Linked DNA regions of Rattus norvegicus. The protein of the gene in region 1 interacts with the protein of each later gene in a biochemical or structural test. Links are inferred from orthologs where the notes say so. Each region holds a gene or a part of one and is shown in the gene's direction. Other genes may lie near its edges.

Region 1 (3,500 bases):
GTCTTAGTTAGGGCTTCTGTTGCTAAAACACCATAACCAAAGCAGTACGAAGCCTCCAGCTTGTGATACGTCATCTTATGGAAGCCAAGGCAGGAAGCTAGAGACAGGAACTGATGCAGAGACGGTGGAGGAACACTCCTTGTGGGCTTGCCCAGCCTGCTCTCCTATACAACCCAGGACTACCTGCCTGGGGTGAAACAGCCTAGAGTGGGCTGGGCCCTCCCCCGTCAATCATTAATCTAGAAAATGTACCACAGGCTTGCCCACAGGGTAGTGGGGAGGGGGTTCATTTTCTCAGGTTAGGTTCTGTCCTCCAAATTGTCTAGTTTGTGTCAAGTTGACATAAAACAGGTCCCCACTTCTTAAAGGTCCCATCGCCTCCCAACGGTGCCGTACAAGCCAACCAAGCAACCCCATCTAAGCTGAAGTAAAGGAAGCAGGGGAAGAATGAAGGACAGCGTCTAGAATGTTAATCTGATTCCATCTTAAAGTTGATAGATTTGAACATAAGTACTGCTTTCTTCCCAAGATTCTTCCTTTATGCCCCTGGGACACATGCTCACCCAAAAAATAGCCTACCAGATTGCCTCGGGCCTGGCCTACCTGCACAAGAAGAACATCATCTTCTGTGACCTCAAGTCAGACAACATCCTGGTGTGGTCACTGAGCGTCAAGGAGCTCATCAACATCAAACTGTCAGACTACGGCATCTCGAGGCAGTCCTTTCACGAGGGGGCCCTGGGTGTGGAGGGCACCCCAGGCTACCAGGCTCCAGAGATCAGGCCTCGCATTGTGTATGACGAGAAGGTATCTGCCTGTCCCCACTGTCACCCCCAAGCCAGCCATGCAGAGCAGGAGCGCAGGACCAGTGAGAAGTCAGACACACAGTCCTGGGGCTCTGGGCTCACCTTCTCCAGAGTGTTTTCCTCTCTCAGTGAGGGGGATTCGAGCTCTGACCAGAAGGTACCAGGGTCCATGTCTGCCTGTTTGTTAACAGATTGACCTCTGCCCTTAGCTTTAGAGGTATATTTTAGTTTGTGTATGTGTGTGTGTGTGTGTGTGTGTGTGTGTGTATCTGTGTGTGTGTGTGTGTGCATGCATGTGCATGTGTGTGTGCATGTGTGTGTGCGCATGCGTATTGCTTGCTTGGAGACCCGGGCAACATGTTCACTGAACACAGAGGCTATGATAGAAACAATCACATTAAAAATTGCTGCCTCCAGGCCCGAGAGATGACTCAGAAGTTGAGAACACTGAGTGCTCTTCCAGGGGTCCTGAGTTCAAATCCCAGCAACCACATGGTGGCTCTTAACCATCTGTAACAAGATCTGGCACCCTCTTCTGGCATGCAAGCATATATACAGACAGAACACTGTACATAATAAATCTTAAAAAACAAAAACAAAACCCTGCCCACTCCATCTCAGACATTCTCTTATGAAAGATGTTCCCTGACTTACATGAGGTCTGCACAACTCTCTCCTTGCTGGATTTTTTAATGACAATTAGAATGAGAAAACACGTGAGACACCCCCTTTTTAATGAATTTCTTATATAGCCCTCTGGGGTCTTGGCTTCGGAGCCCTTAGTTGGCACCTGGTAGTTAACAATTTCTGTGTGTATGGCTGTCGTGTGGATGGACAAATGGATGGATGGGAGAATACATAAGTAACACAGAGAGAAGAAAGGATAAATGGACAGATAAATGCATGGGAAGATGGCGGTCAGAGGACTGTGGGTGTGTGGACATCGGGTAGGTAGATTGGACTGGGGAGAGCCCGTGTTTCCTGGTTGTGCCTTCCCATTCCTTCCTCCTCCTCGGGGCCAGCTTTCTGAGGTTGCTGAACCCAGGCAGGAGACCTAACTTGGCTTGCCCTCCTGCCCAGGTAGACATGTTCTCCTATGGCATGGTGCTGTATGAGCTGCTCTCAGGACAGCGTCCTGCGCTGGGCCACCACCAACTTCAGATTGTCAAGAAGTTGTCCAAGGGCATCCGCCCAGTGCTGGGGCAGCCAGAGGAAGTGCAATTCTATCGACTGCAGGCGCTCATGATGGAGTGCTGGGACACGAAGCCGGAGAAGGTACACAGAGCAGAGCGGAACGTGGGCCTGCCTTCCCCTGGTAGGGGCTGTGGGACTCCAAGGTGTGTGTGTGTGTGTGTGTGTGTGTGTGTGTGTGTGTGTGTGCGTGCATGCGTGCATGCCTGCCTGTCGTCTGTCTGTAGGAAAGTTACCTTTCTTTTTCTCTACAATATGTATATGCAGGACTAGAAGTATTTCAAATTTTGGAGTTTTTCAGATTTTTAGAATATTTCCATGTTAGTTGAATATACCCAATCCAAAAATCCAAACTCTAATATGCTCTGAGATCTGAACGTTTTGAGTTTCGCTCAATTCGCATATTAAATGCATTGTAGTAATGCAGTCCCCATGTAAAGTCAGAGGGACGGACCATATCTCTTTGGAAAGTTTGCTCACGAGAAGCTGGGCCTATATTACATTTTCAAAGAGAGTTCCTTGTTTGTTAGAAGAGGCCTCTAATTTCAAGTTTAGCACTTGTCCATCAAATCAGATAATTAATTAATACATTATGAATAGAATCTGAGACAGATCCCTTTCAAGAGTTTATGTCCCTGGACTTAAGGTAGGACACAACGGGCCTTTGACTCCAGAGCACCTGAGCTTATTACTGTGGCCATGATGACCCAGAGGCTGTGACGGGCTTTTATTTATTTATTTATTTATTTATTTATTTATTTATTTATTTATTTATTTTTGGAGTGGGGGAGGGTGTTCTGAAGCCTTTTCAGTCTTGTGTTAGGCTAATCCCCAAGTGGGAGGAGTCACACACTGCCCTGGCTTGTGCCAGGTGGCCCTGTATGGGGACCCACACAGCTGTGCTCACTATAGACTTTTCTCCCACAGCGTCCCCTGGCCCTGTCTGTGGTGAGCCAGATGAAAGACCCAACCTTCGCCACCTTCATGTACATGCTGCCCTGTGGGAAGCAGTCGTCCTTCTTCTCATCCCAGAGCCAGGAGTACACTGTGGTGTTCTGGGATGGGAAGGAGGAGTCAAGGTAATCTTTTCAGTCTGTACTTCACTACGTATGCCTCAGGTGTCACTGGGAACTGCTGTAGAGTGTAGGGAAGACCCCCTGGGAGGGGGAAAGAATTCCTGAGACCCAGAGGCAGGGCCTGGTAAGGAGAGAGGCCAGAGATGGAGTCTCCATGGAATAGAGGTCTTGGGTGATGGCCTGTGGGGTTGTCCAGCGCATGCTACCCCTCCTTCCCCTGACAGGAGAGCTTTGCACGTTAGTGTAGTCTAGGTGGTCCCAGTGGAGAGCATTTACAGGCCTTACAGTCCGGGAAGACTGAGATGGCGTGAGACTTGAATAGAGTGGGGTCAGCAGAACGGACTCTGAAGTTTGCATGGATCTTATGATCTTAGGTTGTCAGTGGGTAGACATGGACAGAGGGGAAATAAATTCATATTTCCAATTC
Region 2 (4,092 bases), about 57 Mb from region 1:
CTTTCACATGGGAAGTGAATCTATATAACAGGGATGCTACATTCTGCCCCATCTCCATCCCAAGCTGTTGCTACTGGCTACCTGTTTATGGTAATAGCACTTCTGGCTGGGACTAAAGGTGTGTGCCCACACCTGGGAAGTTTAAGTTTTTGGAGACAAAGCTTGGGCTTATTCAGAAAGCATTTAGTACAATCGTTTGCAAGGCACTGGGAAAGACAGCAGCACTGCCGTTTTTGCTCAATCCAGCAATAGGATCTTGCTAAGACCCTCCTGGGGAACTAGAGGAACACAGCTTCTAACGGAAGGTATCACTAAAGTGCCCACAGAAACCAGCAGGCAAGTGGGCAAAGAAGATGTCTGGGAATAGTGGCCAGAGTTGACTTTTTTTTTTTTTTCCAGGAAAAGCCACACACCTGCTCTGTGTGGCCACTCTTTTTACATGTTGTAAATCCATTTATTTTCTAAATGAAGGCCGAACTGAACACTTCTGCAGGGCCGACTTGGGTCTAACCACCACCCCCACCTCTGACTAAAAGTTGTCTCTATTTGGGGCTTTGGGCCACACAGCTGAGGACAAGCTTGTATCCCAGGGCGGACGTCTGGTGTTTCTTACATGTCATCTGAATCATCTGAAAGTCTTGTTTGACTGGCAGGTCATGCCTGGAAAGTTTCTTTCCTTTGGGGTTAGCGGAGAGGTAGCTGAAGCTGACCTAGGCTAATCTGTAGTCTTGAACCCACGCCTCTCCTTTGCCTTCCTCGGTAATTCCCAGGTGCTGCAGATGCTACTGGCCCCTGGGTTGTTCAGACGAAGGCTTGAGCTACATTTCAGGGGCTGAGAGCTACTGCCACAGAGGCTGCCGGTCGGTTGCGCTGTGAAGGTGCATCTGCCTGCTAGTCGTGCCAGTGGTGGCGGTGCACTCCCAAGCTACCTCTTGACCTGGAGTTTCAGTTCTAGAAGGCCAGGTCGGGCGGAGGAAGGTGTTAGATCTTAATAGTTAGGAGAAGCCTCTGGAGGAGGCGCAGGTGAACCACATGAGCACGCCCCGGCCGAGGAGCAGAAAGCAGGACCGAATCCTGTTCTCCTAGGGATCTCTACCTAGTTCATTCGTTCCTGGTTTCCCAGGCAATCTAGAGTGCACTCTATCCTCCAGTACAAATTTCTCGCCCGCAAGATCGGGGTTTAAAGGCGGCTGCGCCGTAGAGCACTCCCATGGTGCCGCGCGCTGGGCGGGTTTGTATTTTAAATCCCCGCGGCCAATCAGCAACGCGCAGGCCCTTGTAACGTTCCCAGCGCTGCGTTTGAATTCGGGGAGGAGCGGAGCAGAGCAGGATCCTCTGCACCTACCCGGCCAGGTCCGTGGAGCAACATCGGCATCATGAATGCAGCGGCCAAAGCTGGAAAGCTGGCTCGAGCACCAGCCGACCTAGGGAAAGGTGGGGTCCCGGGAGACGCAGCTCCCGGTGCCCCAGGGGCCGCCCCGCTGGCGAAAGAGATTCCGGAGGTCCTGATGGATCCACGCAGCCGGCGGCAGTATGTACGGGGCCGCTTTCTGGGTAAAGGAGGCTTCGCCAAATGCTTCGAAATCTCAGACTCAGACACAAAAGAGGTGTTCGCAGGCAAGATCGTGCCTAAGTCTTTGCTGCTCAAGCCCCATCAGAAGGAGAAAATGTCTATGGAGATCTCCATTCACCGCAGCCTCGCACACCAGCACGTCGTAGGCTTCCATGGCTTTTTTGAGGACAGCGACTTTGTGTTCGTGGTTTTGGAGCTCTGTCGCAGGAGGGTAAGTGTTTCTGGGGCTCCTACACCTGGAACTTGCTGGCAAAGTGGCACCGAGGTTTTGGAGTGGCCTAGAGGAGTGTTTGGGTTTTATTTAAGCTGTTATGGAAAGGCTTCTAGCGACGGTACTTGGCACTCCGGATCCTGTTGCTATTAGTGAAGGGGCTCCTAGACGCAAGGCTGTGAGTGGGTACAGGAAATGGATGCGTAAATTGGCTAAGGAAGGGTTCCAGGCTTGAGGTGCCGAGGATCTCGAACTTCCGGAGTGAGGCAAGGTCGGGGGAGGGGGCGGCTGTTTGGAGTCAGACCTTAGAGCTTTCAGGAAAGGGAGGGGATCTCCTGCCAGGAGGAAGCCCTGGGATAGGGGATCGAGAGTGGGGTTGAGAGAAGACTCTGTATAAGGGCACTAGTTAAGAGGGTCCGGTGAATGATAGTGACGAGTTTATGGGCAGAGCTATCAGAAACCTGCCAAAACTCTCCACTCCGAGCGCCTAGTTGGCCATATTAAGCTGGCCACCCTACTTGGGCCTCAGTGACCTCTTTCCTCCTCAGTCTCTCCTGGAGCTGCACAAAAGGAGGAAGGCGCTGACCGAGCCCGAGGCCCGATACTACCTGCGGCAGATAGTCCTGGGTTGCCAGTACCTGCACCGCAATCAAGTCATTCACAGGGACCTCAAACTGGGCAACCTCTTTCTGAATGAGGATCTGGAGGTGAAAATAGGTGAGGTGCTGGGCCTGCGGGTGCCTGTGCCAGCCAGCACAAGAGTCGGGAAGGAGGGGAAGGCTGGGAGGAGGGAAAGAGAAGTGCTGCCCTCTGGAAAGGAAATGGAGGGGGGTGTTGCCTTTTTTAGATACATTGCTGTGCCTCAACTCAGTAGTTTTGAACTTGGGGTGCCTCCCCAAATACTCTTTATCCCCTAGCATTGAGCCAGACCCTCAGCCAATTTCTTTTTTAAACAGGAGATGGGGGACATAAGCTATAGGGCATGGCAGGCGGTATCTCCTCAGCTGTCCCCTTGAGTCTGACTTGCCAGTCCCTAGATCCCTGTCACTTCTTCACACACTTGCTCAGCAGCAATCACGAGATCACTTACTTGATTCTCCAGTGCATTTAACTTTATTTATATGAGGGATGGAGACAGGTTAACTTCAAGGAGTCCGTTCTCTCTTCCACTGTGTGGGTTCCAGGATCCTGACTCAGGTCATCATCAGCCTTGGCGGCAAGCCCCTTTACCTCCTGAGCCATGTTACCTAACCTTAACCCTGCTATCTAAAGAGGGGTTAAAGGGCAGTGGGAGGCCAGCTAGGGCCAGTACAGTGTGTGTGTGTGGGGGGGGGGGGGTGTTCCGGGACTATGGGGGTCTCAAGCCACTAAGTTGTCAATGCTCAGGCTTGAAACAGCTGTTTGCAACCTTAGACAGCTGATCTAAGTAGCTGAGCACCCTCTCTTCTTCCCTCTGTCCCAGGGGATTTTGGCCTGGCAACAAAAGTGGAATATGAAGGGGAACGGAAGAAGACCCTGTGTGGCACTCCTAACTACATAGCTCCCGAGGTGCTGAGCAAGAAGGGACACAGCTTTGAGGTGGACGTGTGGTCCATTGGGTGCATCATGTAAGTTGGCAATGAACTTGGGCTTCTGGGCCTCAGCAGGAGTCTCTGGGGCATCTCACCCAGTTGACCTTACCAAGTGGATCTTTCTACCTTACAGAAAGGCTGTTTTAGAGGACAGGCTGCCCCACATGAAACCCTGGTTTTCATGTCAGTCTGGCATAGGCTGTGGGGATCCCTGTAACTTGGACTTGTTTAAAAGCAGTCATAGACCAAAATCATCAACACCTGAGAGCTTGTTAGGAATTCAGAATCTGAGATCTGAACCTGGGTTTAATACAATCCCTGCCTGATTTTCCATGAAAATCAGGAAGCCCTGCTGAGTGCTGATGGGAGAGTTAGGCCAGCAGATAGTCTGGTGGTAAGCAGAACCCCCACCATGGTGGCCTCTGGAACCCTTGGAGAGTCCTCTGTCACTGCAGGCCAGAGCCAGGCAATCCCTGACACCTCGGAATCCAGGTGTTTTCACTTGCATTCTTCCTAGTGCTTGCCCAGCCTTTGGTTGCTGGGCAGACTTGGAGAGCATCCCATCCTTTCCCAGTCAGTGAATCCAGCACAGCTTCCCCAACTCTGGTCCCAAGACAATGACTTCTACATTTGGATTTTCCTTGGAGTTTGAACAGAATTCCTCCTTGTATCCCCAGGTATACCTTGCTGGTGGGCAAGCCACCTTTTGAGACCTCATGCCTAAAAGAGACCTACCT
Region 3 (4,300 bases), on another chromosome or scaffold:
CAACACCCGCTTCTCAAGCTTCTTCTTTCCAACGGGCTCCCAGGTAGCCCAGGCTGGCCTTAAATTGACTATGTTGCTGAGGATGACTCCTGATCCTTCTGCTTCTACCTCTCCAGTGCTGAGATGACAGGCCTGTGACACCGGTGTGCCACCCACTGAGTCCCCGTCCCAGACCCCACTTTTGGATCTTTGTTAACTGTAGGCAAATAGTAGTAGTACATGTAGAACAAACTTGTGCACAAGGTGCACTGGTAAGACAACAGCAGGAGGTCTCACAGGCGAGCCAGGTCCAGTCAGACAGCAGCTGATCACTGCAGAACACTTGGGTCACTACTGTCCCCTGTAGTGGGGCATCTGCCCCTGCAGTGTGGGTGGTGGGCACTGCGGTAGGCTGACTGCAGCAGGGAGGGAGGCTGTGACTCAGACACTGTCATCAGCAATAGGGGTAGTGAAAAGTGGAACTTCAGCCAGCCTTGCTCCAAGTCTCTGGGCCTCCCTGGCCAAGGATTCCTAAGTGGTACCTGCCTGGGGACTTATAGCTTCTGGTGTGGCTTCTCGGAGTGTCATGTCCACCGGGGCCAGGCACCTCTGTCCAAACTTGTGCTTAATTAATTAGTTAGGTTTTATTTGCTTTATTTTTTTTTTTTGAGGCAAGGTCTCACTAGGTAGCTCTCTATTGTAGCCCAGGCTAGGCTCCAGCTCACAGAGATCCTCCTGCCTCTGCTTCCCGAGTGCTGGGAGTGCTCCACAGCAGACTGGCTGATGTTTCTGAAAGTACAGACTGACCAGGCTGCAGCCTGCCTTGTTCGCCTCCCCAGACAGGGAGCTCTTTCCTACTCATAGCATCTGCGCGTGCCCGAGCCGTTCCAAGCTCCCAGCTTTCCCGGGGTGGGCAACGGAAGGCTAGGACTCAGCGGGGACCCGAGAGCACCCGGCACTCAGCAGCACCCCGCCCGGACGGAGTGGGAGGAGGAGCGGGAGGAGGTGGCAGCGCGGCCGTAGAGAGGCCGGCGCTAGGACCCGCAGGGGCTCCGAGCCGGTCCCCTCCATCCTTGCCCCAAAATGAGGAAGCCTTGCAAGTTGCTCGGAGTTGAGCCACCAGGGCGCTCGGCCGGCTGGCAGGGACCCTCCAGGGGTCGCGCCCTAAGCAGGTGAGCGCGTGTGCGTGGGTGGAAAGGGGACACCACTTCGAAACGGTCCTGGACCCAGGAGCGTCGGGTGCAACGGGCTGGTTTTTTTGTTTTATTTTGTTTTTCCTGGGTGCGGCGTGCGCGTCTCTGAGTGCGCGAGCCCCGGTGGTCACTGCAAAGCCCTTGTGCGCCTGAGGCACGCGCACAGGTGCACGGGTCTCGCTGGCGCCCGTGTGGCGCACACGGGGGTGGCTGGTGGCACCTGTGCCTGGATGCACGTGCGCCTCCGCCTGCGCGGCTGCCGTGCAAACCCCATTGAGCCCGAGGCCAGGAGCGCACCCCAACCTCCCGCCCTGCCCCCTGCCAGCCACCAGCCAGGGACCCAGGCAGCCACAGTCCTGCGGTGCCGCACTGGGATGGGGTGGGTCCTCTCAGATGTTTCTTTAGTGACCCGTGGTGACCTAAGGAGCCTGGAGCCTTACAGGAATCCGGCCTCTCCAGGCTCCGCTCAGGGTCAGATTTTCAAGAATGACCTTGAGTCACGGCCCCTGCCCACCGCCTCTGCCCACAGCCCAGGAAAGAGGAAGCCACAGGCCCAGCTCTTCCTCACACACGGCCCTGGCTTCCACTCGGGACACCAGAGCACTCCACTCCTACCTCAGTTTCCCTTCCCGAGCAAAGGCAGGGCGAGGTTCCCGAGTCTCCTGGCTGGCCTTTGGTGGCCGGGAGTCTAAGGATCTTCCTCGGGTAAAGATCACTTCCCTAAAGCCAAGGGCTGCAGAGGGGCTCCACACCTAAGCTATCCAAGCGGTGATCTGAGGGAGGCACTTTGCTTCCTGGCTGCTACCTCCGCCAGGCCAGGCCAGACCCTGAGGAAGGAACTGGACCTGGGGACACTCCCAGCATGAGACTGCCTCCCTTCACAGGTGAACCCTCAATTCTAAGGAGCTTGGCACCCCACGCCTGCTGCAGCTAAGATGCCAACGGTGAGTGTGGGGCCCTGAGTCACCGGACCTTTTGGGGAGAATAGGACATGCCCCCTACAGTCCCCAAGGACCCCGCCATACTGGCCTCTGTGGCTGTTTCCCTACGCCCTCCCTTCCTTCCCCAGACTTCCCTTTATCTTATTTGACTTCTGAGACAGGGTCTCAGTATGTAGGTGTGCTTGGGATTTGATGCGTAGCCCAGGCTAGTCTCAAACTCACAGAGGTTCACTTACCCCTGCCCTGTCATCCCCCAACCCACCCTGATTCTAGGATTACAAGTGTCCATCACCACGCCAGGCATCTTCCGTTAGTTTTTGAGACCAAGTCTCACTGTAGCCCAGGCTGTCCTTTAGCTGGTCTGGAACTCCTCCTGCCTGAGCCACTTGATAGCTTCCTACAGGCTTGTGTCTTCACTGTTCCCTTGTCCTGTCTTCTGTCCCCACCAGCCCCAGCTTTTTTTCAGGTCTCTCAGGTTTCCCACTTGTCCCGCAGTAGGTCCCTGACATCCCCCTATCCCCACCCCACCCCCCGCCTCTGTCTCCTTCCCAGCAACGCTGGGCCCCTGGGACTCAATGTATGACCAAGTGCGAGAACTCACGCCCCAAGCCCGGTGAGCTAGCCTTTCGAAAGGGTGACATGGTGACCATCTTGGAGGCCTGTGAGGTGAGAGGGGGGCTGGAGGGTAGGTGGTGTGCCTTAGGGGCGCCAGGGCAGACATCCACTGGCTCCTTCCCTCCACCTGTCCCCTTCCTGTGCAGGACAAGAGCTGGTACCGAGCCAAGCACCACAGCAGTGGGCAGGAAGGGCTGCTGGCGGCTGCTGCTCTGCGACAGAGGGAGGCCCTTTCCACAGACCCCAAGCTCAGCCTCATGCCGTGAGTGACACCCTGGGGGTGGCATGAAGGCCCCAGCCACCTTCCACGGTGGCCTCACACAGCACCCTCCCCACACATCCCCACAGATGGTTCCATGGCAAGATTTCCGGTCAGGAAGCCATACAGCAGCTGCAGCCACCCGAGGATGGGCTGTTCCTCGTGAGGGAATCGGCCCGTCACCCTGGTGACTATGTCCTGTGTGTCAGTTTCGGCCGTGATGTCATCCACTACCGTGTCTTGCATCGAGATGGGCACCTCACCATTGATGAGGCCGTGTGTTTCTGTAATCTGATGGACATGGTAGAGGTGACCTGTGGGGGAGGCTGGGGCGGGAGGGGTGGAAATGTGGATGGTGGGCCCCAGCAGCTGTCATTTCTGTCTTTAGAACTGGGGTCACCTCCCCAGGGCGCCCTCAGCTTCCATTCTAACACCCCACACTGTTGCCATGGGAACGTGCTCACCTTAGCCTGGCACTCAGGGGAGTCTGCCAACCTCATGGAGTTTGGGTTGGGGGTAGTGGAAATGGGATCTGAGAGCCAGAGGCTCATGGCCGCCGGCTTCCACAGCACTACACCAGGGACAAGGGCGCCATCTGCACCAAGCTGGTGAAGCCCAAGAGGAAACAGGGCGCAAAGTCCGCAGAGGAAGAGCTCGCCAAGGGTATGAGCACTGCTCCTGCGATAGGTAGCTTCTGCGTGCACACCAGGGAGACTCCCACCTCCCGGACTCCCACCCTCATGCCCCAGCCCTGGCTTGGTTAAGCCCTTGCACCTTGCAACCCTGTCACACTTTTCCAGTGGGGTCTGGAGTCCCAGAGACAAAAATCACAGTGGAGAGAGCTGTCTGTCGCGTTTGAATTTTCAGCGTGGGGGCAGGGTGGGGGCTAGAGGTCTTTGAGAGGGAGGGAAGGAGGGAAAAAGGGAGGGCTTTCAGAGACAACTGCAGGTCTGTGCAGAGTACAAGATTAGGGAGACTACAGCCCTGGAAGATTCTAGAACTTTTATTCTGTGTGGATCAGCAAGGGGAAAAAAGGTCCTCCCAGAGGCATGGAAGGCCACAAGGGCAGCCACACTTCTTGTCCCCAGAGGGAGGTCCTGGAGCCATGGCTCATGTCTAGGGGACCTAGGAGACCTAGGGGGATTGTACTCTGATGGAAGCCAGGGCAGCTCTGGCTTGCAGGATTTAAACGGTACCAGGAGTGGGGTGTCCTTCAGACAGCCTTAGTGCAGCTGCTGGGGCAGGCACATGCTCAGGTGTGCACAGCTGTGGGGATGGATGTCAGCTCTCCAAGTCTCACTGAATGCAAGCTG
Region 4 (4,255 bases), on another chromosome or scaffold:
GCACCAGGTAGCTGTCCTGGGGCTCTGCAGGCTTGTCTGCCCCCTCACCCAGGCTGTATGAGACGCCCCCCCTCCAGGGTCTGTGCTTCCTCTCTCTCCCCTGAAGCTCTGCACCTGCATGAGGTGGTGGCTTCACTCCTGGCCAGGGACGGAATCCACAGGAGGTGGGGCCCCTGGGAAGAGACTGTGGACTTCCGGGTCAGTCCAAGTTCAGCAGTCGTTTATTGTGCTCCAAGAGCTTCCAATCCCGGTTCTTGCAGCCTCCCTTCCAAAGGCAAGCCCGAGACAGAGCCAGGTTCACTTGGCCTGGGTCCTGTAATTCTTGGCAGGTCTATAGTCCTTATGGGAGAACCAGTTGGGGTGAAGTTCAGGCAGCAGGTCTGGGCATACATCTGCCCATAGTCCAAGTTTGCAGTGCTCTCTTCACAAGATGAAGCGTCTACAGACAGCTCTAAGGCACTAGAGATCTACAAGAGTTCTGGGGTCGAGTTACTAACCATCGGAACCATGATGGGGTCCTGGGTGACCCCTCAGGCCCCTGCTCAGAAATGCAGTGAGCTCTTGCACCTGGGCTAGAAACAGCAAGTAGTACTTGAGTGTATGCTGCAGCGTTAGCAAGCCAGGAACTGTAGCCACTGCAAAGAGTGACAAGGAGGTTCTGGGGACATTTTTTTTTTGAGTTCCTAGAGCCCCCACCCAACTTGTGCAAAGATGCTCCCTACTCACTCGAGGCAGTGGCAGAAACCACGCAGCGAAGTTTGACTGCGGCGCACAGATCGGCAGAAAGCCGAGTTTTGCTTCTCCAAGTCCCGGGTGGGGGATGTTAGCGGCCAACAGCTGATGCAGCAGCGGCTAAAAATGCCTCATCTACAGACCTGGGGTCAAAGGGTCTTGGTGCAGGCTCTCTCCACGGAAACCTGCTGGCACCGCCCTTGAAGAAGCTCCGCCCCATGACCGCAGAAGGGGAGCGTCCAGCCGCGGACCCGCAGCTACCTCTATAGCAACCGCAGCAGGTCCTTTCGAGTCAACGCGTCACGTGCTTGTTTCTCAGCCAGTAATGGCCGCAGGCAGCTTCTCCCGATTCCCGAGGAAGCCTCTCGAGGGTGGTCTGACCTGCGGGCCTCTCTCCTTCCCTCAATTCCGCCGTCCTACCAGCGGTCTAGACGTTCCCAGGCTGCCGCATGAGCCCGCGTGCGCCCCGGTGGCGCGCTAGGACCTGGGCCTAGTGACCGGCCCTCGGAGCGCCACTTCTCCAGCACGGACCGCTGCCACGTTCGCGTGGCGTGGGCCGGAGGGTGGGGCTTGACTGCCAATGGGCGGAGCCTTGGTCTGAATATTGAGGGTAGGTCCTAGTTACTGTAGGGCGGGGCCGGTAGAGAGCGCAGCGGTAGCTTCTCCGGGCTAAGCGAACCCGCTCAATCCGCGAGGCTCCGCCTTTGCTCACGTGTCCCCATGCCAGCCCCGCCCCACACCGGAAGTTCCGGTGGCGGATCGCCGACCGGGCGGAGCTGATAGCTGCGCGGGCTGCGAGATCTAGGTGGCCGGGCGCGGAGCCCAAGCCGTGCCGCGCGGCGCCATGAAGGGCAAGGAGGAAAAGGAGGGCGGCGCGCGGCTGGGCACTGGTGGCGGCGGCAGCCCTGATAAGAGCCCGAGTGCGCAAGAGCTCAAGGAGCAGGGAAACCGGCTCTTCGTGGGCCGCAAGTACCCGGAGGCGGCGGCCTGCTACGGCCGCGCCATCGTGAGTGCGGGGGGCGGGGGCGGGGGCGGGGCCCGATGTGCCTCCCAGTTCTGTGATTCCCGGACGATTTCTGGCAGCCTAGACCCGGATTGCTGTTCCCGAATCCAGGGCAGATTGACTGGGGACTGGCGGGCGGGATGCTTGATTGAGGCAAGCTAAGGATGACACCAGAAATTCTTGCCCCTTGAGGCTCCCAAGCCTAAAGCTGGTGGAGGGGTTCTGGGATTTTTCTCAAAAACAGTTGGAGGCAAGAGAGCATGGCTAGAATCCAGAGCTCTGATAACTCGGAAATCTCCAGTTCCTCTCTTCCACCCATGGGCCCCCAATGCTGGAGAATTGTCCGGATCATTGGCTTTCAGCTTGCTATTAGAGAGGGGATCAGATGAGCCCACATTCTTTGTCACCTGATCTTGGTTCCCAGACCCGGAACCCACTTGTGGCAGTGTACTACACCAACCGGGCCCTGTGCTATCTGAAGATGCAGCAGCCTGAACAGGCACTTGCTGACTGCCGGAGAGCCCTGGAGCTGGATGGGCAGTCTGTGAAGGCGCACTTCTTCCTGGGGCAGTGCCAGCTAGAGATGGAGAGTTATGATGAGGCCATTGCCAATCTGCAGCGAGGTGGGCTGACAAGATGCCAGATTGTGGGCACCTTTGGGGCCAGGATTGTTGACAAGTGTAACCTAAAGTGTCCACTCCCCCAGCCTATAGTTTGGCCAAGGAGCAGCGACTCAACTTTGGGGATGATATTCCTAGTGCCCTTCGCATTGCTAAGAAGAAGCGCTGGAACAGTATCGAGGAACGGCGCATCCACCAGGAGAGTGAGCTGCACTCCTATCTCACCAGGCTCATTGCTGCTGAGCGAGAGAGGTGGGTCCCGCCCCCAACAGTTAACACCGAGTCAACAGTGCAAGTGTTTATTAAAGGACAGCAGCCGGTACATGGGAAGCCCGGGAGGAAAGAGGCCTGAGATGGGAAGGGATCTGTCATTTCCCTGTTGGGGCCATCACCAGCTGGCTTTTTCTTGACCCTCAGGGAACTGGAAGAGTGTCAGCGGAACCACGAGGGTGATGAGGATGATGGCCACATCAGGGCCCAGCAGGCCTGCATTGAGGCCAAGCACGTGAGGGTGCCCCTAGTCCACATGTGGGTCGTTGTGTGTGTGTTTTTGTGTGTGGCATGAGAAGTGCCCCAGCCTATGGTGGCTCTGTTGGCCCATGCATGACATGAGTGCCCCGGTGGACAGAGTGTGTGTGTCTGTGTGGAGGAGACAGGAGTTGCCCACACATGGCGCTCAACTCTGCAGGATAAATACATGGCGGACATGAATGAGCTCTTCTCTCAGGTGGATGAGAAAAGAAAGGTAAGGACGGAGCCTTGAAGCTCATGGGCAGGCTCTGGTATGGTGACTTCCTTTCCAGTTGCAGACATTTCCCTCTTGTGCTGCAGAAGCGAGATATCCCTGACTACTTGTGTGGCAAGATCAGCTTTGAGCTGATGCGGGAACCCTGCATTACACCCAGTGGCATCACCTATGACCGCAAGGACATTGAGGAGCACCTGCAGGTAAGGAGGGCCTGTGGTCTCGGGACTGGGATCAGGGGACACTCAGGCCATTGAATACTCTTGACTCTGTCGTTGCAGCGCGTGGGCCATTTCGATCCTGTGACCCGGAGCCCTCTGACCCAGGAACAGCTCATCCCCAACTTAGCCATGAAGGAAGTCATTGATGCTTTCATCTCTGAGAATGGCTGGGTAGAGGACTACTGATACCCCATGTCCTGCCTGGCACCCTGGCCCAGGAGGGTCTGGAGGCAGAAGCTCCAGTCCCTGTATATAGTTTGTGTCCCTGGGCCTGCCCCCATCGGTCCTGATGATGGGTTCTGAACTGCTCCCCTTCTCAGCATATCCCTTGCTGGGCCATGAGCCTCCCTTGTCTCCCTTCTGGGCTGGAGAGCTGGTGAGGGTGGGTTGCTGCTGCTGCTGCCACTGTCCTGTAATAAAGTCTGTGAGCACTACATTGGCATGTGCTGGTGCAGTGGGCTTGCCAGTCGCTTGTTGGCTAGCCAAGGAAAGTGGATATGAAGACACTGGTGTCCAGATTGAGTGTGGCATGCCACCACCGATCAGGAAAGTACAGCGCCTGGGAGAAGGGGCACGGAAAAATAGTCTGATTCCCTAGTTTTTGGGTTAGCCCAACCCCCACCTACCAGCTACTGACTTCACCAGCCTGGATGGTACATTCTAGAGGCCGAGCTGATGGGGCTAGAGATGGGTATATTTCCAGGAGCCAGGCCAACGTGGTCTTGTTAGGGTGGAACTCAGGTGTCTTCTCAGGAGGGTAGAGGAACCAGCGCTGGAGGCAGGAATGTTAAGGTCACTCTCATGTGCTATGGACTACAAACACCAAATTCATGCCCCACCCTTGCACTGACCTTCCGACCATAGATAACCTCTGAGAAACCAGGCCCATGCCAGTGGAAGGGTACCCCAGATCCAGCTCCTGTGGGGTCAGTTG
Region 5 (3,998 bases), on another chromosome or scaffold:
CCAGTGGCCTGAATTGAGGGTTAGTAACAGGGAAGGGAAGCTCAGGGTAATTTTCACAATACTGGGCAAGCATGGCAAGTGAACAGGATGTGATGAGGGAAGGTAGAGGGTCTCCAGCTTTGGGTTGGAGCCACTAATATGATAGCAGCGTCCTTTGTGTGAGGCTGAGAGAGGTGCACACCTTCCATAAATTAAAAAAAAAAAAAAAAAAAGAAAGAAACGAAGCTTTTCACCTTCTACTTTCAGGGGAGGCACATTGGGGGGGGGTTCTTTTATAATTCTCTTTCTTCATTTAAAAGTTCCAAAGGAAGGTCAGGGAAGAACTGAAATGTTCAGTTTTAGGAGATCCTTCCACTTGAGATAAACTGGAGAACAGAATTCTCTTTATCGAGCATTGGCCGTCCCCAAAATCTCAATGATGGACACCAAGACAACGTTGGCGAAGCCATCTTACCCATCTCGTGCTCCTCCTGGCAGTTAGGCCCACTGTTCCATAAATTCTCACTATCGTAAACGCTCACGGCATCTCCTCTCACACTACAACGCTTAATGCATATAGCTATGTATATATATATATATATTTATATATCTTAACAAGCAATGCGACTATAACCCCTGCCTTCAAGGCCAGTGGTTTCGCAGGAATGGTACCTTTGGAAAGCTCGTGGCTGCCCCCGTACTTATTTGCGCCTTCTTCATATCCACTTAAGTGACAACTCTAGTCCCTAGGCTGCGGGGTCTACTGAGGAGCAGGAGCCGTTGGGTCGGTCAGTTGGCAAGCTCTCCTCAGATCTCAACGCTTGCGAGACGCGGACCGGCTCCTGGCGCCTTCCGTCCTCGCAGAACCGCAGCGAAAGAGTCTGGGAGGGGGTCGGGAAAGGAAAAGACGCAAGAGAGATTAAGTAATTGGTTCTCAAAGGCACAAGATGATATTTGGGGTCGACTATGAAGCACCGGTTTCAAACGCCCGCCCCCTAAGCAGCCTTGGCTCCGCCCCTAGGCGACGTCACTCCATCTTTTTCCCGTGTCTCTGCGGATTGGTCACTGGGTCAGCCTCTAAAAGACGGTTAAAAAAAAAAAAAAAAAAAAAAAAAAAAAAAAAAAACCAACTCGGGATTTGCTTCCGGGTGTGGAGTTCGCGTCTTCTACACAGCCGTTGGGAGCGCGAAGATTTTGCTTCCGGGTCTTAGTTGAGTCCCAGGTGTAGAGACTGGAAGTTCTGCATTTTGCTTCCGGTTTTGCGCAGAGATTTCTGGGAGTTAAGGGTCGCAATGGTTCGTGAGTGAGCTTCTGAAGGCACTGCGTCGAACCCCCGCCACAGTGAGTAGCAGGGCATAGTGGTTTGTGGTCCCTGTGCGGGCCGCACCGGGGAGTCGGAGAGCCGTGACTATCGTCCGGGCCGCGGTGCTGGAATGGCGGTCGGGAGCTGCAGCCGAGCTCGGGGCGGTCACCGGCGCGGCACCGCTGACACTGAGAAAAGCAAAGGAGGGTAGGATGGGGTAGAAACTCCCACGTCCCACACGGTCTGTCTGAGCATGCTGCTTAAGCTAACGGAGATTTAGTAGCCCTGTAGTTAGGCTGGAATTCTTATTTGACAGCTAAAAATTGCAAAAGGTTCTCTGGTAGCCTAGGCTAGCTTGGAACTCCCGATTCTATTGCTCTCACCCCCCAAGCTCTGGAATCACAGGAGTAGTACCCAGTCATGCCCAGTTCTTGATGTTTGGTTGAGTGGAGTTCCGATTTTCTTAGGATTGCGTTAAGTTACAGCCTACCAAAGCTTTACGAATGTTGCGGTAACTGCTTTAGAGGGAAATTGAATCAACAAGATTCTGGGGTAATGTTGCCAGTGTAAATGTCATTGGGTTTTAAACAAACTCTAAGACACTCAATAAGTTTGCCTGTAACTTTAAAAGAAATTTGTTTTTTATTGGTCCATTTGCTGTAGTGTGAGGTTTCTGATAAAAATGCAAATCTTGGCCGGACAATTCCAGCAGTGCAGAGGCAGTCTGGTAGATCTCTGGAGAGTCCTAGGCCAGCTTGATCTGCATTGTGAATTCTAATTCAGCCAGAAATACATTGTGAGATCCTATCATAAAAAATAAATAAAACAAAATCTCAGAGAACCTAGTGCTAGTGGGATATAAAAAAAAAATTTAAGTCATTTATTTTAAAAGCCACACTACACTGTTGTCCAAGATCTGACATCACGTGTCAGAAATCTCATAATAATTCTATAGAAGTATCAACATTCCACAAGTGATAGAATCAAGCTAGGAGACTTGCGCAGGGCTACCCAGCTAAAACAGAAGCACAGACTCAGACCTTCAGAGTAGTTATTTATATCAAATAAGAGCTGCCTGGCAGTGCATATCTAGTAAACACCCTGAATTTCATGATTCTGCTCTTTAGAGACTTGTACTGAAGCAAACTACTTAAGCAGTTCTGGGGAGAGTTTTGAGAATGATTTAAGGACAGGTAATTATGAATGATCTATAAAATGAAAGTATAATTAAACCCATGTTTGTCAAAGAATAGAAGATGACAACAGCAGCCAGGCCAACTTTTGAACCTGCAAGAGGTGGGAGAGGAAAAGGAGAAGGTGATTTGAGCCAGCTCTCCAAGCAGTATTCAAGCAGAGACCTTCCCTCTCATACAAAGATAAAGTACAGGTAAGAAGCCTTTCATTTGTCCTGTTCACAGAATGGAACCAACCATGACTTATGATCATGTCTAAATTAATAGTATTTAAGTTACCGATCTTCCAAGAAAAGGCTTTCAAAAAGTTTACAATACAATTATTTGCTGTAGTTGTAAAGTGCTCTACGGTCTTTCAGCATAAGTTCCTATTGAGCAGGGATTGCTGGTGTGGATGAAGCCCTCACTAGTCATGATAACCAGCTCAGTCTTCTGAGTGAGTATGGGAGTTGCTGTAACAGCCCTGAGTGGAGGACTGTTTTCAAGAGACGTCCTGCTGTAGGAAGTTGTGTGATACGGAACCCCACGAGTGTATTAATAGCACTCTGATTGGGATATTGTCCTCTTCCGTTTTGTTCTTGATTGACACTTACATTCTGAATTGTCTCAAGTTGCTATAGCCATATAGGTTCTTTTCCTTGACAACTGGGGGCAACATTTTTGACCTGTTTTGGCTTGTTTTGTTTTTCTACTTAAGACAAACCACACAGGATGCCCCTGAAGAGGTTCGCAACCGTGACTTCAGGAGAGAGTTGGAAGAGAGGGAGAGAGCTGCTGCAAGGGAGAAAAATAGGGACCGTCCAACCCGAGGTATCTGCTGTCCCTCGTGTGTCACATAGTTATGTGATGCAAACTGTTTCCTGGTGATTGGAAACAATTAACATTGTTGTGAGCTATACCTCTTTGATAAGAGACAATAATGAGGTTTATTCCAGTCCCATCTTGTCATGCATTGGTACTGAAGACATGGTGACCTGAAGTGTTTAAAACCATTTTTCAGTTCCTGTCAGTAGACTTTGACTTTACAGCAGCTGGAACCCGCCCGAGGCCTTCTGTCTGGGACTCCCCATGTAATTGATGAGTTTTGAGAGAAGCATCAGTTACCCTTTTTATGTTTCTACCACATGTGAGCATTGGCTAGTCTCCTGAGACGCTGTGATCTGCGTGCTCACTAATTCACCCCATGTTAACCAACAAGTATTTATCAGAGACTTACTTGCCCGTCACAGGGTGGGTCCCTGCTGTCACTGTGCTTTGTGTGGATTCTTTTTGCCCAAAGGTTTCTAAAATGTTACTTAAAATCCAGTATGTACTTCAATATGCTAAATGTTTGTTTTCTTCAGAACACACAACTTCCTCTTCGGTGTCCAAGAAGCCCCGCTTAGACCAGATTCCTGCTGCCAACCTTGATGCTGACGATCCTCTCACAGATGTACGTGTTTTAGGTTTGGGTTTGGGTTAGCTTGTGTTTATTTGTTTGCTTGTTTCAAGCCGCCTCAGTGCTGGAACTGTGGGCCTCTGCC
Region 6 (3,917 bases), on another chromosome or scaffold:
CTCACATCCTCACAGGCCTCCAAGATGGAGATGCTTGTGCTTGCAGGGCAACACTGCCCACCACCTGCCAGGGACGAGCCTGAGCAGCTTCCACAGCACATCCATTGCCAGTTACCTGTCCTTTTACTTTCTTACCGATTTATTGTCTGAGGCTTCTGTCACAGGATCCTAGGGTCACTTGGTTTCTAAGGCAGAAGTAGCCCAAGGGTGGCCCCAGGGCAGAGATGCCCCAGGCAATGCAGCTCCCTGGTCAGTTAGAGAGGGAAGTCAGCCCAAGGAGCTGCCCTGCCACTCACCCAGGTGACAGCCTGTAGCAATGCATGGAGACCCCTTTAGGCTCAGGGTTGCTTGAGCTCTGGCTCTCCCCCTGCTCCTTCCTAGCAGTGACTGGCCTGGTCTCTGGTAAGCCTGTAAGCACAGTTCTGTCTGCATATCCATCCGTATTTTCTCTCTCTCTCTCTCTCTCTCTCTCTCTCTCTCTCTCTCTCTCTCTGAATGCACATATGTGCACACATGTCAGCATGTGCATGCCCACCCCTCACTTCTCACCTGCCAACACCCTGGCGCCTGGTGCCAGTACTTTGAAAGATGGGATGCAGACTCCACACTTACCTGTCTCAGATTCACATGTACTATCATTTGATGTACTGATTGGCTAGTTTGGGTTCATTTTTACTGTATATTTATAGTAATAAAATCATGCAGCAATATTCTATGTGCGCCTTTGTTCTGCCACAGCACTGTAGGCAGCACTGTTGGCTCTCGGTGTACTGACAGGACACTGGCTGACAGGTTTTGGTGCTGCCTTCATTTGCTTCTGTGAGAGGGGCAGTGAGCAGCCCCTCCACACACAGACAACGGTCATTGTGCTTGTTTTGTTGCTCGCTCTGTCTGAAGCTGACATAGAATTTGGCTCACCTCCACGGAGCAATTGCTGGATCTCAGCCTCCAGGTGGGCAGATGGTCCTAGTTCTTATACCCACCCCAGCTCTTGTGATGTCTACCGAGTACTAATCAATGTACCAGAGGGCAAAGCCTATGACAAGGGGGACCCATCACTTGAGCTGGAGTCACTTAGATGCTTAAGTCTTTAAAGGCATGATTTCACAGGGCAGTGGAGTCACAAGCTCCGGGTCGAGCCTCAGGGAAAGATCATGGATGAGGTGGATATTGAGATTTCCAGCTGCACTCTCAATGACGTTTGGGACTTGAGACTGGCACATCTTGATGATCAGTGTACCTCCCTAGGACAACCTGGCCTCGGTGCTGTGCATCTTGGGAGCCGTAGTCTTCTGGTAGTCGTGGGGGGTCTCCTATGTAAAGGAGAGTAGCTAACTACATAACCCCACCCCCACCCCGCCTCCACCAAGAGCTCGAGTCTTTGCTGGATTCAACACCAGTCTCAGGGCTGGTGGGGGCGGGCTTATGCACGTGGAAGCACGTGGATTGGGCCTATGTGTCGTGGGCGGGGTCGCGCATGCTCATTTGGGCAGTGGGCCTGGAGCACATCAAGATGTCGACCACGACGGTTCCGGAGCTGAAGCAGATCAGTCGGGAGGAAGCAATGCGCTTGGGGCCCGGCTGGAGCCATTCATGCCACGCCATGCTGTACGCTGCCAACCCCGGGCAACTTTTCGGCCGTATCCCCATGCGTTTCTCAGTACTGGTGAGGAGCCGGGCGGGCTAGCAGGGCGGATCGCTTGGGACACCCAGTGGACCCCGCGTCCTGACCAGGCTTACCTTGCAGATGCAGATGCGCTTCGATGGGCTGCTGGGCTTTCCCGGGGGTTTCGTGGACCGCCGCTTCTGGTCACTGGAGGATGGCTTGAACCGGGTCCTGGGTCTGGGCCTGGGCGGCCTACGCCTTACTGAAGCTGACTACCTGAGTTCACACCTGACTGAGGGTCCACACCGTGTGGTGGCACACCTGTACGCACGGCAGCTGACGCTGGAACAGCTGCATGCTGTGGAGATCAGCGCTGTGCACTCGCGGGACCACGGTTTGGAGGTGGGACTACTGCCTGGGGCCCGCCCCCGTTCCCACTCCTGAGGTTTGGCTCTGGCACCACAGAAGGCACCAATGGGTAACAAGTGCCCCTCAGGGTCCTCACCCTGGCTTTGTTGGATGGGAAGAGGGACTTGGGATCTGGGTCATGGGCTGTTTACATTGCCTTGTTGCCTGCCATTGTCAATCCTGGGAGTGGGGCTTGGGGTCACTGGAAGGGATGATCAGGGCCTGCTTGGAAAATTGAGAACAGACAAAACAAAAAACAAACAAAACAAAAACCGGATTGTAGCGTTTAGGATTACCTCCTGAGGAAATTTGGGGATTTGAGGATTCTCTGGTCTAAAGGGCATAGAGTGAAACTAGTGATCATGGGAGTTGCAGCCAGACAGGGTGGGGAGTGCGTAGGATTGGCCTTGAAACTTGGGGAGAAGGGGCTTTACTGCATTAGCAATGCCTGGCCAGACCGGGCCTGGGTCTCCCTGTCTCTGGCAAACTGGTGGCTGACAGGCCTTTCTGCCAGAGTCCTGCCTCTACAGGAGAGCCCAGCCCCACCCGTGCCCTCTGTCCCGCAGGTCCTGGGCCTTGTACGTGTCCCACTGTACACACAGAAGGATCGAGTAGGAGGCTTCCCTAACTTTCTGAGCAACGCCTTCGTCAGCACTGCCAAATATCAGCTCCTATTTGCCCTTAAGGTACTCAACATGATGCCCTCGGAAAAGCTGGCCGAGGCCTTGGCCTCAGCCACGGAGAAGCAGAAGAAGGCCCTAGAGAAGCTGCTCCCGGCCTCATCCTGAGGTGGTTCCTGTGCAGGTCCCTGCCCTCCCTTGGCTGTCTCTGCCCACAGGCCCTGGAATTCCCGAGAAGCGTGCCTTCTAGTGTGTTTGGTTTTGCATCCCTTCTACTGCAAGGGACAAGCAGGCAGCTGTTCATCATTGTTGTCCCAAGCAGTCCCTGGGACCCAGCCACCCTCTCTCAGGTTGGTCAGTGGGCTGGGCCTGGGCCCGGGCCCAGCTTTTCAAGCTGAAGATGTTCTTCTCACCCATCCCAGGGCTCAAACTGTGCCGTGAGTCTGTTCATGACTGGTGGAGCCCCAGCTAGAGCCATTCTTCCCAGGCAACCACTCGGATGGTACCCAGATCCTGGACTGGTTGTGGGTTTTGTTCAGTAGAGAGGACCCATATTAGATCAGCCCTTCCTTCCCTTAGCCCAGAACCCGGTCCAGCTTGGGGTAGGATGATGCTTGGGTGGTTGTTGGATTTCTGTTGGGTTTTTTTCCTTGGTGTATGAACTGTGGGTTGGTTTCAGAATGGCTGTGCCCCATATGGCTTTGTTTTCCCCATGAGGGCTTTGACTTGGCTCTGTGAAACTGAGGAAGAAAGAAGACAATAAAGCCATTCCTCTGATGCTCATGTCTGCTTCTGAGTGGCATGGCCATCTTTCTGAGGTGGAAGGTTGGGCCCAGGACCAAAATCAATCTGGGTGGCAGCTTGAACTGAGCTCATGTAGTGGTGATGGTGGAGCTGAAGGCACAGACCTAGTATGCAGAGGGACAACAGCATGCCACCATGGGACAGGACTGACACTGCAGCAGTCCTACAGCCTGGCGCACAAACACTGGGAAGGCTGGAGAATCCCCACAGCTCAAAACCAACTGGGTAAGGAAGGATGTGTGCCAGCTCCACTTTAGGGCTTAGAAACAGGAGAAACCCTAGAGCAAGGGTGATAGATCTTTTGGTGGCAGTAAGGAATATGTCATGTGATCAGAAATGAGCTCCCACCAACTTGCGTCTAATTTTATTTTCAAAGAGTACATTTTCTAGGCACCCCAGACTTCGACTGTAAAATCAGACTTCAGTGTGGCCCCTACATGTGCAGGACTTAGCCTCTCCATACGGCCCTGCCTGGTCTG
Region 7 (4,161 bases), about 62 Mb from region 1:
TTTGGTTCATCCCAGCAGGTGCACACAACCAAATTGTCCAGCTCTTGTTTTCTGTGGCAAGCTTTTTGCCCTCCAGTCTGGGTCAGGATGATAAAGTCTTCTGATAAAGCTTTTGTGGCCATAAAGCAAGAGTTCCACTTGGCAGATCTTCTTCAGGATGAGGATCAGGGTGTGGTCTCCAGGTAGAAGAGAAAATTCCTTCCAGATGAACCAGTAGTGCTGAGAGCTGGTGTTTTTTCAGGGTCCTGTCTATAGCAAGATGCTCTCTTGGTGTAGGACTTGTGTTTCTTTTACCTACAGAAGAAACTAAGATCACACCTTCAATGAAGTTTCACAGTGATTCAGAATGGGAGAAAACCCTGGAGGAGAAAGGTGGTGTCCGTTTGGCCACCCTCTTCCAGCTCTAGTAGGATCACCTGAGCTATCTAGCCTGAGGGTGGGGGTGGGGCAGAGGTGTTCAGGTTTTGAGTTTTTTCCCAGAGCTCCAGATCTAAACCTCACTATTAAGTTAGATCTCACTGGTCCCACCTTTGCAGGAGCTGAATTTCAGCACCTTGACAGTTTGCTAAGGGGTCGGGGTAGGCTTCATCTTGTAACTAATTCAAGAGCTTTTTTGGGACCTACACCTGAGAGCAGGGCACCATGGGCTTCTGCCTAATTACTCAGCACCAATGCCAGCGCCACCTCCTGCGACGGCTGTCCCACTACAGAAACTAGGAACTAAGTGGGGGAATAGACATGGTGCAAATGACTTCCTGGGTTCTAAAAGGATTTGGTTTGGAAAGTGCCCGAGTGCTTACAACCAGAAGCAGGACTCAGGGAGAAAAAGATTTAAAAAAAAATAAATGGTCTCATGTTGTATCGCAGACTGGCATCAATCTCGCGACAATCCTGTTTCAATTTCCTGAGTGTTGGGATTGCGTTAAACTCGGAAACCCGAGTTTCTACTGAATGCCATTAGGCGTACATAATCCTATCCATAAATGCAAACTGAAACCCAAGGCCCCTGTTCGGTCTGTGTCCCTCCAACCGGGCCTTGGGAACCTCTTTTAGCAAACAGAACGCCACGTCTTCACCGTCTCCTCCATTGCAGAGGAATAATAAAACATTTCCCGCCATCTTCAAATCCCGTGAGGCAAGTACGGAGTTCACGCGAGTCTTTGCAGGTCTTACGTTACTTCCTGCGGAGAGTCGGCCTTGGCTAAAGGGATACATCCGCCCGTTCTGCCAGTCTTTTGGATAGAAGTGAAGCCACTTCCGGGTCCTATGGCAGTCTTCACAGTCTTTTTCCGGGTGATGGAGGCGGATGCCCCGGATGTAATACCGGCGAAAGCATCTTTCCTTTTCTTTCCCGTCTGACCCTGGATTCCTAGGTGAGCGTCAGCGGGTAAGATTGTTTGAATCCCTGCGGCTTTGCCTCGCTTCTAGCTTCTACGCCGAGTTGGACATGGCCGAGCAGGTCGCTATGTGGAATTCGGGTTCCGAGGCTACTAAGGCGCCAGCTCTTGCGTCCGACCGGCCTCTGAGGGCACTCGGGTGGGAGAGGTGGTTGAGCTCTGTAGCTTCGGACTGGTAGGGAAGTGATGACGTGGGGGGAACCTGCTCCCTACCCTCCCACACACCTAGGTGGGAGTACCCACAGGGTCCACGCGGGGGCGGAGATCCTTCACATGTTCTCCCTTTTGGGCCCCTGCATTGCCAAATCAATTCCGGACGTCGTACCTGCTAGTTCTTTCAGATGGTTTAGTGATCGGTCCTCTCTCAAATTTACCAGGAAAAATCTTTGTGGAGCCTGTACACTCTCGCGGCCCTCTCTTGTTACTTAATTTCCTCACTTCCTATCTTTTCCCGAGGTCCAGCTGGAGGAAATCTATTGCCAATCATGCCAAAGAGGAAAGTGACTTTTCAGGGTGTTGGAGATGAGGATGATGAAGATGAAATCAGTGTTCCCAAAAAGAAGGTGAGATGGCCAGATCTCTAAGTTCTATGGAGGCCTAAGGGGAAAGGAGAGGGAGCAGTCCAACGGGAGAAAAGCTGGAAGCCAAGGAAGGGTTAGTTTTTCCCAGTCACTGGGTTTGGAAGGATTCGAGTTTATGTACAGATCCTGGAATATTCGAGGAACTAGCCAGTCTTCCTTTCTCATTTACTTCGTCCTACTCATAGCTGGTGGACCCTGTGGCTGGAGCAGGTGGTCCTGGGAGCCGCTTCAAAGGCAAACACTCTTTAGACAGTGATGAAGAGGATGATGACGAGGGGTCCAGCAAATACGATATCCTGGCCTCAGAGGATGTCGAAGGTGAGCTATTTCCAAAGCATTAACTGTGTTGGAGGGACAGGTTTTAAGTAGGGAGGTGGGAGGTGTACTGCCTGTTTCTTTTTTGCATGTCTAGCATGGGGCCCCCCATGTCTTTGGTGCAGGTCAGGAAGCAGCTACTCTCCCTAGTGAGGGGGGTGTGAGGATCACACCCTTCAACCTGCAGGAGGAGATGGAGGAAGGCCACTTTGATGCAGATGGCAACTATTTCCTGAACCAGGATTCGCAGATCCGAGACAGCTGGCTGGACAACATTGACTGGGTGTGGCCCAGGATCTGTCCTGGCTGAGCTCAGCCTGGGAATGCTGGTGCTGGGCCTGGGTCCTGGTGGAGTTTGTAAGAAACGATAACTATCTTTCACTTATAGGTGAGGATCAAGGAACGGCCACCTGATAAGCAGCAGGTTTCGGACTCAGAGGAGGAAGGCAGCCTGGGTCAGACTCCAATGAGTGTCCAAGCCCTCCTGGAGGGACTTCTGGAGTTGTTACTGCCAAGAGAGACAGTGGCTGGGGCACTTAGGCGTCTGGGGGCCCGAGGAGGAGGCAAAGGGAACAGCAAGGGGACTGGACGGCCCAATTCTCCCCAGCGTCTAGACCGGCTATCTGGGTTGGCTGATCAAATGGTGGCTCGAGGCAACCTTGGTGTATACCAGGAAACAAGGGAGCGTTTGGCTATGCGACTGAAGGGTTTGGGGTGTCGGACCCAGGGATCCCATGACCCCACACCTCCACCCTCCCTGGACATGTTTGCTGAGGAAGTAACAGAGGGGGAACTGGAAACTCCAACCCCTACCCATAGAGAAGGTAAGAAGGGCACAAGAGGGGCAGTGTGGGCAGGAGACCGGGTGCTTGAGGCCCAAGTTTCTTCATTGTTTTAGAAGCAGATTCAGCTGGAGATGGTCTGATGGATGTGATGTGGGAGTATAAATGGGAGAACACGGGGGATGCTGAGCTGTACGGACCCTTTACCAGTGCCCAGATGCAGGTAAGCCCCTTCCCGCCCTGGCTGTCCACCCCAGCTTCTGTCATCTTGCCTCAGTTTTGTCCTCTGTTCTTACAGACCTGGGTGAGCGAAGGTTACTTCCCGGATGGTGTTTATTGCCGGAAGCTGGACCCTCCAGGCGGTCAGTTCTACAATTCCAAGCGCATTGATTTTGATCTCTACACATGAGCCCGCTAAGGGCCCCGTTTGGCAGCCCCTTCTTTCTTGAACTTGGCAGAGGAGGTCCCAACTGCCCTGGGCAGTGAGGATATTGGAGGCCACTCTAAAGCCAGTGTCTCTTTGTCAATAAAAGCCTTGAGTATGCATCAGGGCCTTGACTGGGCTAATGGCCAAAAGCCAAGGCTTCTCCATAGCTCCTTTTGGCTTCACCTGGTGGGTCCTTGAGTTTCCTCCCAAGAGACTTCCTCTCATGCTTCTCTGGTGTCTTGGACCACCTCCGTTTTGTTTCCCACCTTGGAGGCAGAGGGAGGGCCCATCAGGTGTCCTGTGTAAAATTCCCTCTATCACTCTGTTCTCTGTCATGCTGATCTTGGCTTTTAGGACCTCACATTCTCTGCCCTGGCAGCTCCTTTGTAGCTGGGACATTAGGAAGACTTTGAAATCCTATTGGGAGATCCTCTTAAACATGGATTCTCCCCTTCTCCCTAGTCTGGTTTTACTACCCCTCACCCTCCTGCAGTAGTTTCCATAGCTCTTAGGTGAAGTATGAACTTGGTAGCACTTCAAGGTTACTTGGGCCACCATGTGATACAGCGAGGGGCAAAGGGCAGGGACTTACTGGAGACCTCACAGTAAACTAGAGAGGTGGCCCATTCACCTATTCCCTGACCTTTCTTGGCATAAGC

The links.
Region 2: the proteins of Lrrk1 (region 1) and Plk1 form a complex in vitro, tested with the Homo sapiens proteins (2 studies listed by BioGRID, with this or other methods). The link is inferred for Rattus norvegicus from reciprocal best matches to the Homo sapiens genes LRRK1 and PLK1.
Region 3: the proteins of Lrrk1 (region 1) and Matk form a complex in vitro, tested with the Homo sapiens proteins (2 studies listed by BioGRID and IntAct, with this or other methods). The link is inferred for Rattus norvegicus from reciprocal best matches to the Homo sapiens genes LRRK1 and MATK.
Region 4: the proteins of Lrrk1 (region 1) and Stub1 form a complex in vitro, tested with the Homo sapiens proteins (2 studies listed by BioGRID and IntAct, with this or other methods). The link is inferred for Rattus norvegicus from reciprocal best matches to the Homo sapiens genes LRRK1 and STUB1.
Region 5: the proteins of Lrrk1 (region 1) and Cwc15 form a complex in vitro, tested with the Homo sapiens proteins (2 studies listed by BioGRID and IntAct, with this or other methods). The link is inferred for Rattus norvegicus from reciprocal best matches to the Homo sapiens genes LRRK1 and CWC15.
Region 6: the proteins of Lrrk1 (region 1) and Nudt16l1 form a complex in vitro, tested with the Homo sapiens proteins (2 studies listed by BioGRID and IntAct, with this or other methods). The link is inferred for Rattus norvegicus from reciprocal best matches to the Homo sapiens genes LRRK1 and NUDT16L1.
Region 7: the proteins of Lrrk1 (region 1) and Cd2bp2 form a complex in vitro, tested with the Homo sapiens proteins (2 studies listed by BioGRID and IntAct, with this or other methods). The link is inferred for Rattus norvegicus from reciprocal best matches to the Homo sapiens genes LRRK1 and CD2BP2.

What each region holds. Positions count from the first base shown.
Region 1 is NC_086019.1:129,264,631-129,268,130, reverse strand, and holds part of Lrrk1 (leucine-rich repeat serine/threonine-protein kinase 1), read left to right. Parts: intron 1-368; coding exon of another isoform or gene 369-421; exon of another isoform or gene 422-512; intron 513-529; coding exon 530-807; intron 808-1,886; coding exon 1,887-2,081; coding exon of another isoform or gene 2,082-2,143; intron 2,144-2,924; coding exon 2,925-3,076; exon of another isoform or gene 3,077-3,500.
Region 2 is NC_086019.1:186,146,366-186,150,457, forward strand, and holds the start of Plk1 (serine/threonine-protein kinase PLK1), read left to right. Parts: upstream 1-1,292; 5' UTR 1,293-1,376; coding exon 1,377-1,784; intron 1,785-2,332; coding exon 2,333-2,501; intron 2,502-3,246; coding exon 3,247-3,391; intron 3,392-4,032; coding exon 4,033-4,092. UniProt on the Homo sapiens protein: Serine/threonine-protein kinase that performs several important functions throughout M phase of the cell cycle, including the regulation of centrosome maturation and spindle assembly, the removal of cohesins from chromosome arms, the inactivation of anaphase-promoting complex/cyclosome (APC/C) inhibitors, and the regulation of mitotic exit and cytokinesis.
Region 3 is NC_086025.1:9,109,947-9,114,246, reverse strand, and holds the start of Matk (megakaryocyte-associated tyrosine-protein kinase), read left to right. Parts: upstream 1-1,500; 5' UTR 1,501-1,551; intron 1,552-1,588; exon of another isoform or gene 1,589-1,877; intron 1,878-2,056; 5' UTR 2,057-2,107; coding exon 2,108-2,116; intron 2,117-2,665; coding exon 2,666-2,779; intron 2,780-2,874; coding exon 2,875-2,990; intron 2,991-3,076; coding exon 3,077-3,296; intron 3,297-3,556; coding exon 3,557-3,650; intron 3,651-4,300.
Region 4 is NC_086028.1:15,354,778-15,359,032, reverse strand, and holds Stub1 (E3 ubiquitin-protein ligase CHIP), read left to right. Parts: upstream 1-1,473; 5' UTR 1,474-1,576; coding exon 1,577-1,738; intron 1,739-2,159; coding exon 2,160-2,358; intron 2,359-2,441; coding exon 2,442-2,607; intron 2,608-2,640; exon of another isoform or gene 2,641-2,772; coding exon 2,773-2,860; exon of another isoform or gene 2,861-3,043; coding exon 3,044-3,100; exon of another isoform or gene 3,101-3,186; coding exon 3,187-3,303; exon of another isoform or gene 3,304-3,381; coding exon 3,382-3,507; 3' UTR 3,508-3,755; downstream 3,756-4,255. Other genes in the region: Jmjd8 (jmjC domain-containing protein 8), read right to left, coding at 3,800-3,880, 3,959-4,093, 4,173-4,240. UniProt on the Homo sapiens protein: E3 ubiquitin-protein ligase which targets misfolded chaperone substrates towards proteasomal degradation.
Region 5 is NC_086026.1:19,585,718-19,589,715, forward strand, and holds the start of Cwc15 (spliceosome-associated protein CWC15 homolog), read left to right. Parts: upstream 1-1,198; 5' UTR 1,199-1,320; exon of another isoform or gene 1,321-1,489; intron 1,490-2,530; exon of another isoform or gene 2,531-2,535; 5' UTR 2,536-2,538; coding exon 2,539-2,669; intron 2,670-3,172; coding exon 3,173-3,285; intron 3,286-3,818; coding exon 3,819-3,907; intron 3,908-3,998. UniProt on the Homo sapiens protein: Involved in pre-mRNA splicing as component of the spliceosome. Component of the PRP19-CDC5L complex that forms an integral part of the spliceosome and is required for activating pre-mRNA splicing.
Region 6 is NC_086028.1:11,142,126-11,146,042, reverse strand, and holds Nudt16l1 (tudor-interacting repair regulator protein), read left to right. Parts: upstream 1-1,500; 5' UTR 1,501-1,513; coding exon 1,514-1,666; exon of another isoform or gene 1,667-1,747; coding exon 1,748-2,008; exon of another isoform or gene 2,009-2,580; coding exon 2,581-2,802; 3' UTR 2,803-3,417; downstream 3,418-3,917. UniProt on the Homo sapiens protein: Key regulator of TP53BP1 required to stabilize TP53BP1 and regulate its recruitment to chromatin.
Region 7 is NC_086019.1:191,241,092-191,245,252, reverse strand, and holds the start of Cd2bp2 (CD2 antigen cytoplasmic tail-binding protein 2), read left to right. Parts: upstream 1-1,361; 5' UTR 1,362-1,373; exon of another isoform or gene 1,374-1,387; intron 1,388-1,420; exon of another isoform or gene 1,421-1,459; intron 1,460-1,853; exon of another isoform or gene 1,854-1,859; 5' UTR 1,860-1,882; coding exon 1,883-1,960; intron 1,961-2,161; exon of another isoform or gene 2,162-2,163; coding exon 2,164-2,296; intron 2,297-2,418; coding exon 2,419-2,576; intron 2,577-2,681; coding exon 2,682-3,117; intron 3,118-3,191; coding exon 3,192-3,298; coding exon of another isoform or gene 3,299-3,373; coding exon 3,374-3,484; 3' UTR 3,485-4,161. UniProt on the Homo sapiens protein: Involved in pre-mRNA splicing as component of the U5 snRNP complex that is involved in spliceosome assembly.